Linked DNA regions of Drosophila melanogaster. The protein of the gene in region 2 interacts with the protein of the main gene of each other region in a pairwise test. Each region holds a gene or a part of one and is shown on either strand. Other genes may lie near its edges.

Region 1 (7,050 bases), on a different chromosome or scaffold from region 2:
CGCAATTGGTAGTAATCCACTAAGAGGCTCCAGGTGGACAAAGGACTACCTACCTGGATCGGGATCGGGAGCGACTGTAGCGTCTGTAGCCCGATTCGCTGCCGTTTCCGTTGCCGCCCGAGAAGCTGTGACCATATCGAGAATCCATATCTAATGCGAATCGATTGTAATTAAATGCAGTGTTTGTGATTTGGCCTTTTGCCATTAGATGAACCGTCTATGTGCGCACATCTTACTTGGTTACCACGACTGTAACAGGATTGGAAGCTGGTTAAACTTGTTCCCGAACTGGAAGTCTCTTTGCATTCAGGCAGAAACAATCAGTTATCCGGCCAAAAAAAAAAACCCGAATAGAAAAATTCTCGGTCTTCTTTTTTGCCGTTCACCCGAAGTATCTGACTGCCAGTTATCGATAACTGACCGATAGCTCCAGGGCTACCAAGTGCCAGCTAACAGTTGTTTCCCAACACCAAGCAAATTTAAACTTTACACCGTTACATTTTATTTTGTACATTCGAAAAAGGATTTAAATTCGCTTAATCAGAAACTATTAACTAAACGGTCACACTTGCTCGTGGACTTAAAAAAACGCCAATCTGTTAGGAAAACAATGCTCAAGAAGCTTCATATATAATATGGAAATAATTTTTGCTTCGGTTGAAAAGCTGAATTAAACGGCGACTTTAGTTGAAATGAAACATGTGAAACGGCTAAAAACCAATTTCTCAAGCATTCTCGTAGCGCTGCTTCATCATCTTCTTTATATAGGATTTGTAGTCGTTGCCCGGTATCATCTGTCCCGATTTGTTGCCCAAGCCCACGTAATTGGAGCGTCCGTCCGCCTGAGGGAACCCAAAATGCTTAATTTTCTTAATTCATTTTATAGCTTGCCGTCAGCTCAGTTACCTCTATGATCTGGGTGCGTCCCTGGTTCTTCCTGCCCAGTCCCTGTCCCTCCGACCAACCCATCTTTTGGAGCAGTCGACTGCCCACGTTGCTCGAACTGATGGGCATGGCTGGAGTAGCGCTAGTAGACTGCTTTTGCCGCGACTGCAGTGTCTTGATCTCCTGCTCGAATCGCTCCCTGCTCCTATTTGGTGGGGGAGGATCGCTCTCGCCGTACTTCAGCCTGCGCTCCTTGGCACGATCACGATAGCTGGGAAAGAATATGAATTCAATGATAATATACTCCACCACACATCGCGATTTCACTTACGCTAGTGCCTCTTCGATGCTACTGCTAGTGTTTTGATTGAGCTTGGCCAGGTTCTCCTTGTGCAGAGTGGACATCTTCAAGTGCTTCTGGAGTATTTCCAACGATTGGAAGGCACGCTTGCAGAGCAGGCATGTCAGTTTATGGAAGTCCACGTAATCGGACTCTTCAGCACCTCCTCCGCCGCTTACAACCGCTGAACTCTGTGTGTTTTGCGAACTCGCAGCATTGTCCTCTTCAGAGTCCGATGTTCCGCCATAGGCATTGACAAGCTTGTTCATTGGACCCACAGTCGGGTTTGGCGCATAGTCGTTTAACTTGCCCCTCTCCTTCTTCTCGAGAATGGAGAATCCCACATCAGCATATCCCCCTTGATTGCCACGCGAAGTGGTGGCTACCTCGTTCGCCAATATTGGTTGTGGCGTGGCCACAGCTGTGTAGTCCTTTTTCTGGTTTAGCTGCTTGGCCCACTTCTCCATGTCCTTGACGATCTTCTTCGCCACCTTAACCTTGTCGTGCTTGTTTCCACCCTCCTTCTCCTTCGCCTTTTTGGACTCCTCCTCCCCCTTTTGCTCGGCGTCGGCCAGGACTTCCTGCAGAGCTGCCTGAGTGGAGGCGGGCGTGGCCAGCACATAGGTGCTCCTGCGCTGATCCCAGTAAAGATACGCGCCCGTCTCGTTGTTATAGTAGTACTGCGAGTGGGCATTGTAGTAGAGACCCGTGGTACTGTCGTAATAGTAGCCGGATGTCTCATCATACTGGTACTGCGTCACATCGGGAGTGGCTGCAACATAATGAAACATAATAAAATGCTAGCATACTCAAGTGAGTGGCGACATACGGTATATCTTTCCATCGTTGCCCTTGGGCGCACTGGCCACCTGAGCAGCCAATGTGGCCTTCACTTGCGCCGCTGCCTGTGCGGCAGCTGTGGCCGCCGCTGTGATCGTGGTCTCGATACTGCTCATCTTCTTCTGCTTGCGCTGGATGGCCGAGAGGGCAACCGCTGCTCCGGAATTGGCTTCCGTCAAATGGGAATCCCTGTTATTTTTGTTTATATCTGCCGTGTAGTACTCCGTATAGTACTGGACATAATAAGCGTGCTCTGCGGGATTCGAAGCGTACAGGGAGGCACTATATTCAGCGAGTCGTGGCACATCGGCCAGAGTATAGTTTCCACCCAATCCTGAGGGCGAAACTGCTGAAATGTTCCCGCTATTGACAGTTGAATCTTTAACTGCCAATTCTTTAGGGTTCTTGGGCAATGCTTGCTGCTCCTCCAAGTCGATGCAATAGGTAATGGCCACTGGATGAAATATTGGTTATTATTTAAGTTATAAAAAGCACCTAAGGCCACATACCAACTCTGTCGTCCAAGGTAAGTGGAGGATCCAGCGCTGTCAAGGCATTGTGCACATTCATCGAGTCGACAAGAGTGTCGAAGTGAAGGTAACAAATTCCACGCGATGCCTGCGTCAAGGAATCCCGACTAATTAGCACCTTGCTCACGGTCTTGCTCAGATCCTTTAGGTGAAGTTGGAGGGCAGTGAGCACAGCCTCTTCGTTGGTCAGGGCGTCCAGGTTGCGTAGCATGATCTCTGCGTGGATTGGGGAAGTGGTAGAGAAATCGTGGCGGTCAGTGGTCTGTTGGACTTCATTGCGATCGAAGCTACAAAACGAGATGGCAAGAGAGTCTATGTGGTTTGTATACTTTTGGTGAGGATGGTGCTGACTTCGTCCACGCCCTCGCTACCGGAGGAGAAGGTGGTTTCGCTGTCTTCCCGGGATGTTTTGCACACAAAGCAATAGAATCTAAACTTGAAGTTGCAGACGCCACACTGGAACAAGCGAAACACATTACTCGCCATTAAGAATATGATCATCTCAGTGCACCTACCTTGTTGCAGTTCCAGTCCTGAATTCGCTTGTGGCTGTACCGCATGCTCACCCGCTCGTCGTTTAACTTCAGAACGCCCTGGTGCGCCAGACATGGAAATAGGAGAAGGAAAGGTTGCGGATTAGTAACCGATCGCTAGGATGCCTTCATTCACACTCTACACAGTCACCGGATTGCATCTGTGTTTCGTAACGCGAAGTTTTAGCCGCTGGCAATCTCCTCGAGTGGCTTTCTTGGGCAATTCTAATGAAGCAATACTATACTCGTGCTTAGTTTCCTTGCAACTACATATAAGTACTTTTAGTTGGACAAAGCAAGCTAAACAGTGAGGAATTCCTTATTATCATTGCCTGCGAACAACCTTGGCTGCTGATGATGATCAAAGTTTCAAGGGGATCTGGTCGATTGCGCTGATACCTGTGTAATATCCATCCATTGCTTTGCCTCCTCAACGGTGTTAAACTCGACAAACGCTATACCGCGTGATGAATCTAAATTTTCGGATAGAAGCAGATACAAAATGTTTTCGTCAAAAAATGTTGAATGTTTCGATAGGTTTGTAACATTTTTGTGGACTATTGTATTCTTTTCGATTCATGTGGCCGGTTAAATTCGATTGGTACTTGTACACTTCGCCTCCATTAGCGCGAAGCCGCTCCAACTTTTTGGACCTACTTACGTCTGACGCTGAAAGAACAAAGTCAGTGATTTCGTAACCCACCTGTTCCCTGCTTCCGGATAATGCGAATGCACGCTGGCTCCATGTTCACCTTTATCAGCTCGCTCATAATCTAAAAAAAAAGTTAGTTCATGAGTAATTAAAGGAGTTGCATTTGCCACTCTTCTGCTTGGCTTACATCTGCTCTGGTCATTTCCTTGGTAAGACCGAAGATTATAATAATATTGAGGGCTTCAGTGGTGGATCGGTATTTGTTCCTGCGCATGTGGCCTTCATCGCTGTCGTAATCTGAGGAGCCCCTTCTCTCACGATCCCGATCTCGATCTCGATCACGTTCACGGTCTTGCTCCCTATCCCGATCTCGATCTCGATCGCGATTATGGTTGCTGCCACCGCCGTTGTACATGCGGTGATCTCGGTGGCGCCTGCACGGTCCGATTTATTATTTAGCCTGAAGTGTATGTATACTTTATACTCACGTGTTTCGCTCGTTGCTTCTGCTTCTGTCGTCGTGATTGTTGTTTCTGTTCCAGGGTCTGCTGTGTTCCCTGCTCCGACTTCTGTTGTGATACCAGTCCCTGTCCGTGGAGCTACGATCACGTGAGTCCAAGTCGCGGGAGCGCTGTTCGTACTCGTAGTCGTTTAGCTCCCGATCGCTCTCGCCATCTCGGTCCCGATGCCGACGGTCGAAGCTATCATGTCGCCGGAACTGACGATTCTCAAAGTTGCTCCTGGAGTTGTAGTTGCGCTCATCCTGATCCCTGTAGTCGTCGTTGATCAGGCTGTGGTAAAGGTCGGGGTCCCCGTTACCAGCTCCTCCTCGACCACCGCGATGCTGATCGTTTCTGAACACGGGCGACCGATCCCGATCCCGACTTCGAGAGCGAGAGTTCCGGTGCCTGATTCCTCCATGGCTGCGGTTGCGCTCACTGAAAAGGGTACACAGTACTAATAAACACGATCGCATTACGCTGGTAGGGTAGAATTACCGGGAACGCGACCTGGATCGACTGTATCGAGACCCCGGCCTGGATCTATAGTAGTCGCTGCCCCGTCCACCCTCGTTTTCACTTCCACCAGAAAAACTGCGCCGACTACTCGAGTCCATTGCCGACTTGCTTTGGCATAGACGCTGGGCAGGCACCAGTGGCAATAGAGCTTCGATGCGGAATCCTTCACGATCTGTTTGGTAACTTAGCCTTAATATTTTTATCCCGGTTCCTTATGGAGGACCACCGTATCTTTTTTCTCAAGAATACTCGATGTGCCATTCGCAGCGAAACGCCGATAATTCTCTAAAGCTAGAGATGGCCCTTTTATATTTATGTATTTTGCAACGAAAGATGGCTATATATTTTTAAGCATTAAAAACTCTAGGTTCTAGACCATAACATAATTATAAAGTTTTTTTTAACGAAAACTACTCTTTTCTTAAAAAACAAACATTACATTAGCTATCAGCAATAACAGTGCTCTTGTCTGACTGCTCACCAACCATCCTTAGGAGCAGTGTTGAGCAGCGTCCGAGTGCCGCTACTTGCCATTCCGTGCAGCGTGTCGTGGGGAAAAACCAATTAGTTTTTTTTTGATCGTCCTAAACTTGGAAGTCCCACGAATTCAATCACTAGCTGACGGCCTTATCGCTGGTAGATATTGCGAGATCGAGCAGTGCATTGTAAAACGGCCACGATGAAGAAGGTTCTATTGACCAAAGCCCAGCACATCCAACCAGTCGTCGCTAGTAGTTCGGATGTTTTGGTGATCAAACCAGTCGGTTCCCTGCGAGTGATATCCATCTCAGCGCCACATAGTGCCTCTACCTACATCCAGCGCAAGTCCTTCCAGCCCGTCTACGAGGACATCTTCAAATTACTCATGAAAATCCCAGACAAAGCCCTTACCCAAAGGGTGATCGACGCGATAAACGAGAGCAATAATAACGATAAGGTCGCTATCTCCAATCACGGTAAACAATGTTCGTGCGGAGTCCAAAAAGTCGATTCATCTACACAAACGGATTGGGACACCGAGGAAACGCATATGCCTGGCATTACAAATAATTCATGCGAAGCCAAAGGGAATAGGCATAGCCACATGACCAGTTCAAGTTCCGAACCTATAAAACCGCCAGTAGATCCGACCAAAGTTCCTAAAAAGCGCGGTAGAAAGCGAAACACCTGCGTGCCACAGGTGGTCAAGCGATCAGCGGCTGAGATGGCGCTTAAGGAGCGCGAGGAGAAGCAACTGACGCCCGTGATCACTAAACGGAAGAAAAGGGATGTCACCGTAAGTACAAGTATTATTATGATGTAGTAGTTCCTCCTGGAAAGTACTAAGTTCATAAATCTCGAATGGAAATATATATACGATTTTATTATAAATATCTTTCTTACAGCAAGCGCAAAACTTCGAATCATATCAGATCACGAATAAAACCCCTGTACGCCGAAACTCTACCTTGTCGGATATATCGTTCAACTCCGATGAGTTGACCCGGGTGGAAAACTTTATAAGCGGAAACACCGAGGACCGCATTATACGCATCATGGCCAACGAATTCAGAAAGTCGCACATAATGTCCGAAGAAGGATTGCTGTAAGTATTCATTTAGCCGAATAAGACCATCATCATCGTAATGATATCATCTTTTCACATGGCACTTCAGACCCATTCACGAGGAAATACTGCACGGCGATGTTTACGGCGTTAAGCGTCAGATATTTGTGTGCTGCCACGCGAAAATGGACATCAACGAACTACTCACCAGGGACGGCGAGGACTGCCTGGAACTTGCGCTGACGAACGACACGGACACCGAGATTGTATCGCTCATCCTGGACGCTCGCATGATGACCGACCACCTCTACGAGAACTCAAACACAGCTCTTCATCTGGCGGTGATAAACCATATAAATATAGAGTCCATTAGGCTGCTGTTGCGCAGAATCGATTTGAACAGTCTTCTGCTAACCAACGATGATGGTTATACAGTTTTGCACCTGGCAGTGCGCAATAACCAGTTCCTTGTTGTCGAGGCAATCCTTGATAGTATAGACGAGCGCGAGCTGGGGGAAACGGTGTACAGGAGAACCCTGGAGGCAGCGAATCCGAATGAGTGGGACGAGAAGGGCTTCGCCAAGTACTACGATCGTGCCTGCGAACGGCTGGAGCTGAACAAGACGTTGCTAAAGAACCGTGCACATAAGCGGGATGTCATCAATGCATCCGAGGCGAGGGGCGGAAACCCACCGCTTTTCTACG
Region 2 (4,772 bases):
GAAAAGGCGGTGGATATGACACAGTCAATCATATCAGGAGCGGTTTCGCCATCAGGTGATGGTGTTCCGCAGAAGCGGATTGACCGTCAAATTAACGAAGATGTGCGTAAACTGATGATGGGCCTTTTCGGTTGCCTAGAACCAGAGCTAGTTAGCTTCATCCAGAGCTTTGAGCGTGTAGACAGCTTGTAAGTAAACAATATAGTAATGGAGTAAGGAGTAATTAACAAATTTGTTTTCGTAGCTACTCTCTGTACGTTTTTGTGCGACTTACGCAGCACGTCATGTCCGCCCAGGACACACATTCCTTTCTTAGCATGACCTTCGCTTCCGCCTTGGTGCAGGTGAAGCGGAGCTTCGACCGCTTTATGCAGAACCAACTACTGTCTATCCGGGAGGCAAAGCTGCACAAACGTTCTAAGGCCATTCTGCCGTATGTGGAAAACTTTGAAAACTTTGCCCAAACTGCAGAGGGCATATTTCGGAAATCGGATCGCCGAACGGACATGGAGAAGTGGTACTTGCAGCTGGTGAATGCCATATTTGAGGGCATCCAACTGCATTCGCAGGAGCACCCCAAGACACCAGTTCAGGTAGTGCGCATGGAGAACTACCACCACATGTACGCTTTGTTAGCCCAGCTCAAGGTTCCTGGTCTGGACGCCCTGAAAAAGGAGGCCAAGAAGTGTTATAACGATGCGCTAAAAGCGTATGTGACTCAGTACTTCGGCCGGCCGCTGGAGAAACTGAATGTAAGCCAAAGTCAATGACCTTCCAGAAGAAAAGATAAGTCGATCTTCATCTCATAAATTTCCGTTCTGCCTTTGCAGCAATTCTTCGAAGGCGTGCAACTTAAGGTGGCCCAGGGAGTCAAGGAAACGGAAATCAGCTACCAGATGGCATTCTCCAAGCAGGAACTCCGCAAGGTGATCGCTCAGTATCCTGCACGAGAGGTGAAGAAAGGACTGGAGAACCTATATAAGAAGGTGGAAAAGCACCTGAGCGAGGAGGAGAATCTGCTGCAAGTGGTATGGCATGCCATGCAGGAGGAGTTCATTGCCCAGTATAATTACCTGGAGGAGCGCATCCAAAAGTGCTACGCCGGCGCCATGATCAACCTGGAGTTCAACATTCAGGACATACTCGCCTTCTTCTCGGACATAGCGCGCTCCCACTGATCTAGGGATTGGAATCTGAAAGTCAGGGAGCGGTTCAACCGGGTTTTATTTTTAAGTGCAATAGTATTTAAAGCGCTGTTTCTGCTGATTGCAAAATATATGGCGCGTATATTTAAACAGATGTGGATCTGCGAATGTTCGAAACGTCCAAGAGAGAGGGATCGCGTAGTGAAAAATCAACGAGACTAGGCCTTAAAGGGAACTTTTCAACAGCTAGCCATTGAAGTTGATTATTGTATAAGTTCTAAGCTAAAATTACATAGCCAATACTCAACTTTTGTCCAAGAATGCGAGTAAACTAAATTTTATATATAAAAATGTAGAATTTCTAGAGATCTTACTTGATCTTTAGTACGTCAGCTTTTAAAAATCACAGATAGAAGTTTGACTTTTTGTATTTATACTTTTATAGTATAACTCTAATTTACTACCGTGCACATTCAAACAGCCTCCTAAGGTCAAAGAGAGCTCTTCAAGATCAAAAGAGATAGATCATAGCCTAAAGAGAGAGAGAGAGAGAGAGAGTGCTCGAAGAGTGAGCTTTCCGGGGTGGCTTTTCGTTCGCCAGCCGTTGGAGTTCGGGCTGGTGCTCCCAGTCAAGCCGCGCGACTCTTTCGCATCGGTTGTCGCCTGTCCGCGTGATTTACCCAACTGCAGTATAAGCATTTTATTTCGTGTATTTTAAATTGTTCTAGCCGTACGTGTTTCCGTGTGTGCTCATGTGCCGTGTTGATAACTCCGTGAAATGCAAATGGTAATTGCAAATGGCAAATGGCAAACGGAAAATGGAAGAAGCCGCAACGACTTGCGACTGAATGTGGTGCATATTTTATGAAGCTCCGACAGGGAGAACAAAAAGTTAGACTACCGCCGAACCGATCCGATCCGAACTGATCCTCCCTCCTGTCTGGGCTGTCCCATAAACATGGCCACCATAGCGACCCGTCCGACCAGTTTCGTGCTGTTGTGCGGTTGTCGCTCCTGACTCGGTTCTCCCTACCTTCCCGTGACCCCCATCCCCATCCCCGTCTACATTCCCATTCCCATCTCCTCCAGCCGTTCCATTCCTTAGCTTACCTTAGCCTGTCTTGCCCTCCGCCTTGCATTTCTCATGCACACACGTTGCCCGCTTTTTGTGCTTTTCGTGCGCTCCCGTGCTCATGTTCTTCCACTTTTTCGGCAGCCTGTAGTACAGTGGATGCCGGTTAACGGAAGACATTTACATTTTAATGCATGTTCGACATGGAAAACTAATCGGATACGAAACGCATACAAAAAGACTATTCTTTTTAGGACCTTAATGAGATGCAGGAATACTGAGTCTTCAGACGGCTTTGGAAATTTAATAATATAGGTTTCTTAGATAATCATTTTAGTTTTCAAAATCAATAACTCTACTTCATTTTAGGTTCTTTCATAACAAGCTTATATCTACAATAGTTTGGGATCACTCGGCATAGCTCTTTGCGTTTTTCAAGCCAATTTCCACTGTTTTTCTTTCCTCGCAATTCCTCTTCAACACAACTGCCTTTTGTTTTAGCCTTAACTGGCGGTCATCACAGTTGCTCTTGCCGTACGTATATTTTAACGAAGTTTCGCTGAAACCTGGCCCACCTTGATAAGCACCTGGAAAGTCAGTTGGTCGCGATCGTCTGGCAAGTTCAATGCTATGATATTGGCGCTGCATTTTCGACTTCCGCTATAATTAGCTAGCTCAACTCTTTGGCCCTTCGATTTCGCAGACCACTGTACTTGTTTTGGAAGAAACGGATAAAGTGCGATAAGAGTGCAACTGTGTGAAGTGATTAAGTGGCAGAGTTATCTATGTCATCAGTAAATGTTGTAATCACCGAGATGATCTTGAGTCATGAAGATATCAGGGATGAGTGGCCTCCATGGCTTAGCAGCATGAACTTGTTAGCATGATAATTATCTTTAGAAAATGCGTAGGTTTGGAAATTCTTTCATTCATATCTTAGTTTTAGAAAGCTCGTATCTGGTTACCTCAATGCCAACTTTGAAATAAAATTTTGCAAATATGCATATTACTGAGTGCGCCAGCTGTATTCACTCAAAGTTTATGTATGAATGAATATAGTGTCAGATGTCATCATGAGCATGCGGCGATATCAAAGTTCTCTTTTGATATATGTACATATATATGCGAACCTTATTTAATTTCACTGATTGTCCCCATTGAAATGTTTATTTGCTTATTTTAATTGTCGTTCCACTTTATTGTTTGCAGGCAGGCTAAATATTTTTCTCACTTGATAACCGTAAAAAACCAATGTTCCACAACCCATTTACTCGTTCTACACAATAATATTATATAAAAGGGAACATTTAAATGTTTACAGAACTAAAGATTTAATTTTCAGCTGAAAAGTTGGAACAGCCTTTAAACTAATACTACGATACAAAAGCAGTTAGAACCGAAAACGCGTTTGTTTGCTTACATTTTAGCACTTGATAACTGCGATGATAGTACGTCAGAGTCACTCTTGTTTTCATTCTAAATAGAGTGTTTACCTGTTTGCGTGGCACACTAAGCATTTTTCCAAAGGAAATGGCATATGGCCGTGCAATATCCGCCGCAGAATGCATCGCTCGCTAAATATTTGCACTTGCCCATTATCTTTTGTTTCAATATTATACTCAGCTGCAGAGTCGGCAATAGAGGAAGGTTCTCCTCCCGCCCCCACCCACAGCTCGTCCACTCCTCCGCTTTCCGGACTTACCGCCAATTTCCCGAAGGGGAAGCCATCAACTTTATGCTTCGTGACTGAGTCATCAGGTTTTTTACTCCATCTCCCTCCGGTTTTGGCCCGAACCAGAACCCAAGTTTACTTGAGGTTAGCTGCCAGCGGCAGTTTTTACTTATCTTTCGTTCTTTCTTCATTTTCGCTTCTTGTTTTTTTTTCCCCCCTGGCAACTGCAATATGGCTGGCCAGCTGTGGGCCGCACATTTTCATTTTAGCCCGCCCAACTAACCGTTATTTTGCGATGGGAGTAGGGCTAGACTCTAGACTCTAGACTGGCTAGAATCTAGACCTAGACTAATTAATTCCACATTTTCTAGCGCTGCTGTCATCAGCAGAACTGACCATCGGCGCACTTGGCACCTAATCTCCGCCATACGTGCTCAGCTATTTTCTTAATATTTTCGGTGTGTTTGGCAATCGGAAAAGCTTAAACAATAAGCGCCGTAAGTGTGCTATGTGGATTTGAAACACCTATATACAGGTGCTAGTATAGTTATGTGCATGTTTTATAATGCATGTGGAAAAAAGAGTGTGCGGCTCACATTGTTCCGAACAATGGAGCGTTATACGATAAAAAGTGTATAAAAAGGCCGAAACGGGGGTTGCATGTCACCCGGCTCAGATCGCTCGTCTCAGCCCTGAGAAAATGAAGTCACTCTCAAATAAATAAAAACACAGGCGAGAAGAGTTACGGCAAGTGCTAACTGAATCTGAATATAGCCACTCACATAATACCTGACTCTCGCCCCGGTCGGTGAATCTTTATTTATGGCTGTCGTGTTCTCAAATCCATGAGCCATGTGAACTGTGTGAACCCATCTCAGGCGTT

What was found. Proteins that work in one complex are often made in the same cells at the same time.
Region 1: the proteins of blot (region 2) and CG4887 interact in a two-hybrid assay, tested with the Drosophila melanogaster proteins (one large-scale study listed by BioGRID).

The regions. Positions count from the first base shown.
Region 1 is NT_033779.5:1,171,048-1,178,097, reverse strand, and holds CG4887 (uncharacterized protein), read right to left. Parts: upstream 5,090-7,050; 5' UTR 4,898-5,089; coding exon 4,779-4,897; intron 4,719-4,778; coding exon 4,269-4,718; intron 4,215-4,268; coding exon 3,968-4,214; intron 3,902-3,967; coding exon 3,832-3,901; intron 3,602-3,831; coding exon 3,528-3,601; intron 3,189-3,527; coding exon 3,111-3,188; intron 3,052-3,110; coding exon 2,925-3,051; intron 2,812-2,924; coding exon 2,575-2,811; intron 2,520-2,574; coding exon 2,055-2,519; intron 1,998-2,054; coding exon 1,217-1,997; intron 1,157-1,216; coding exon 907-1,156; intron 843-906; coding exon 726-842; 3' UTR 509-725; downstream 1-508. Other genes in the region: CG4896 (uncharacterized protein), read right to left, coding at 54-148; charon, read left to right, coding at 5,479-6,075, 6,185-6,384, 6,455-7,050.
Region 2 is NT_037436.4:17,418,514-17,423,285, reverse strand, and holds the start of blot (bloated tubules), read left to right. Parts: upstream 1-1,771; 5' UTR 1,772-1,932; intron 1,933-4,772. Other genes in the region: Sec3 (secretory 3), read left to right, coding at 1-188, 245-752, 831-1,178.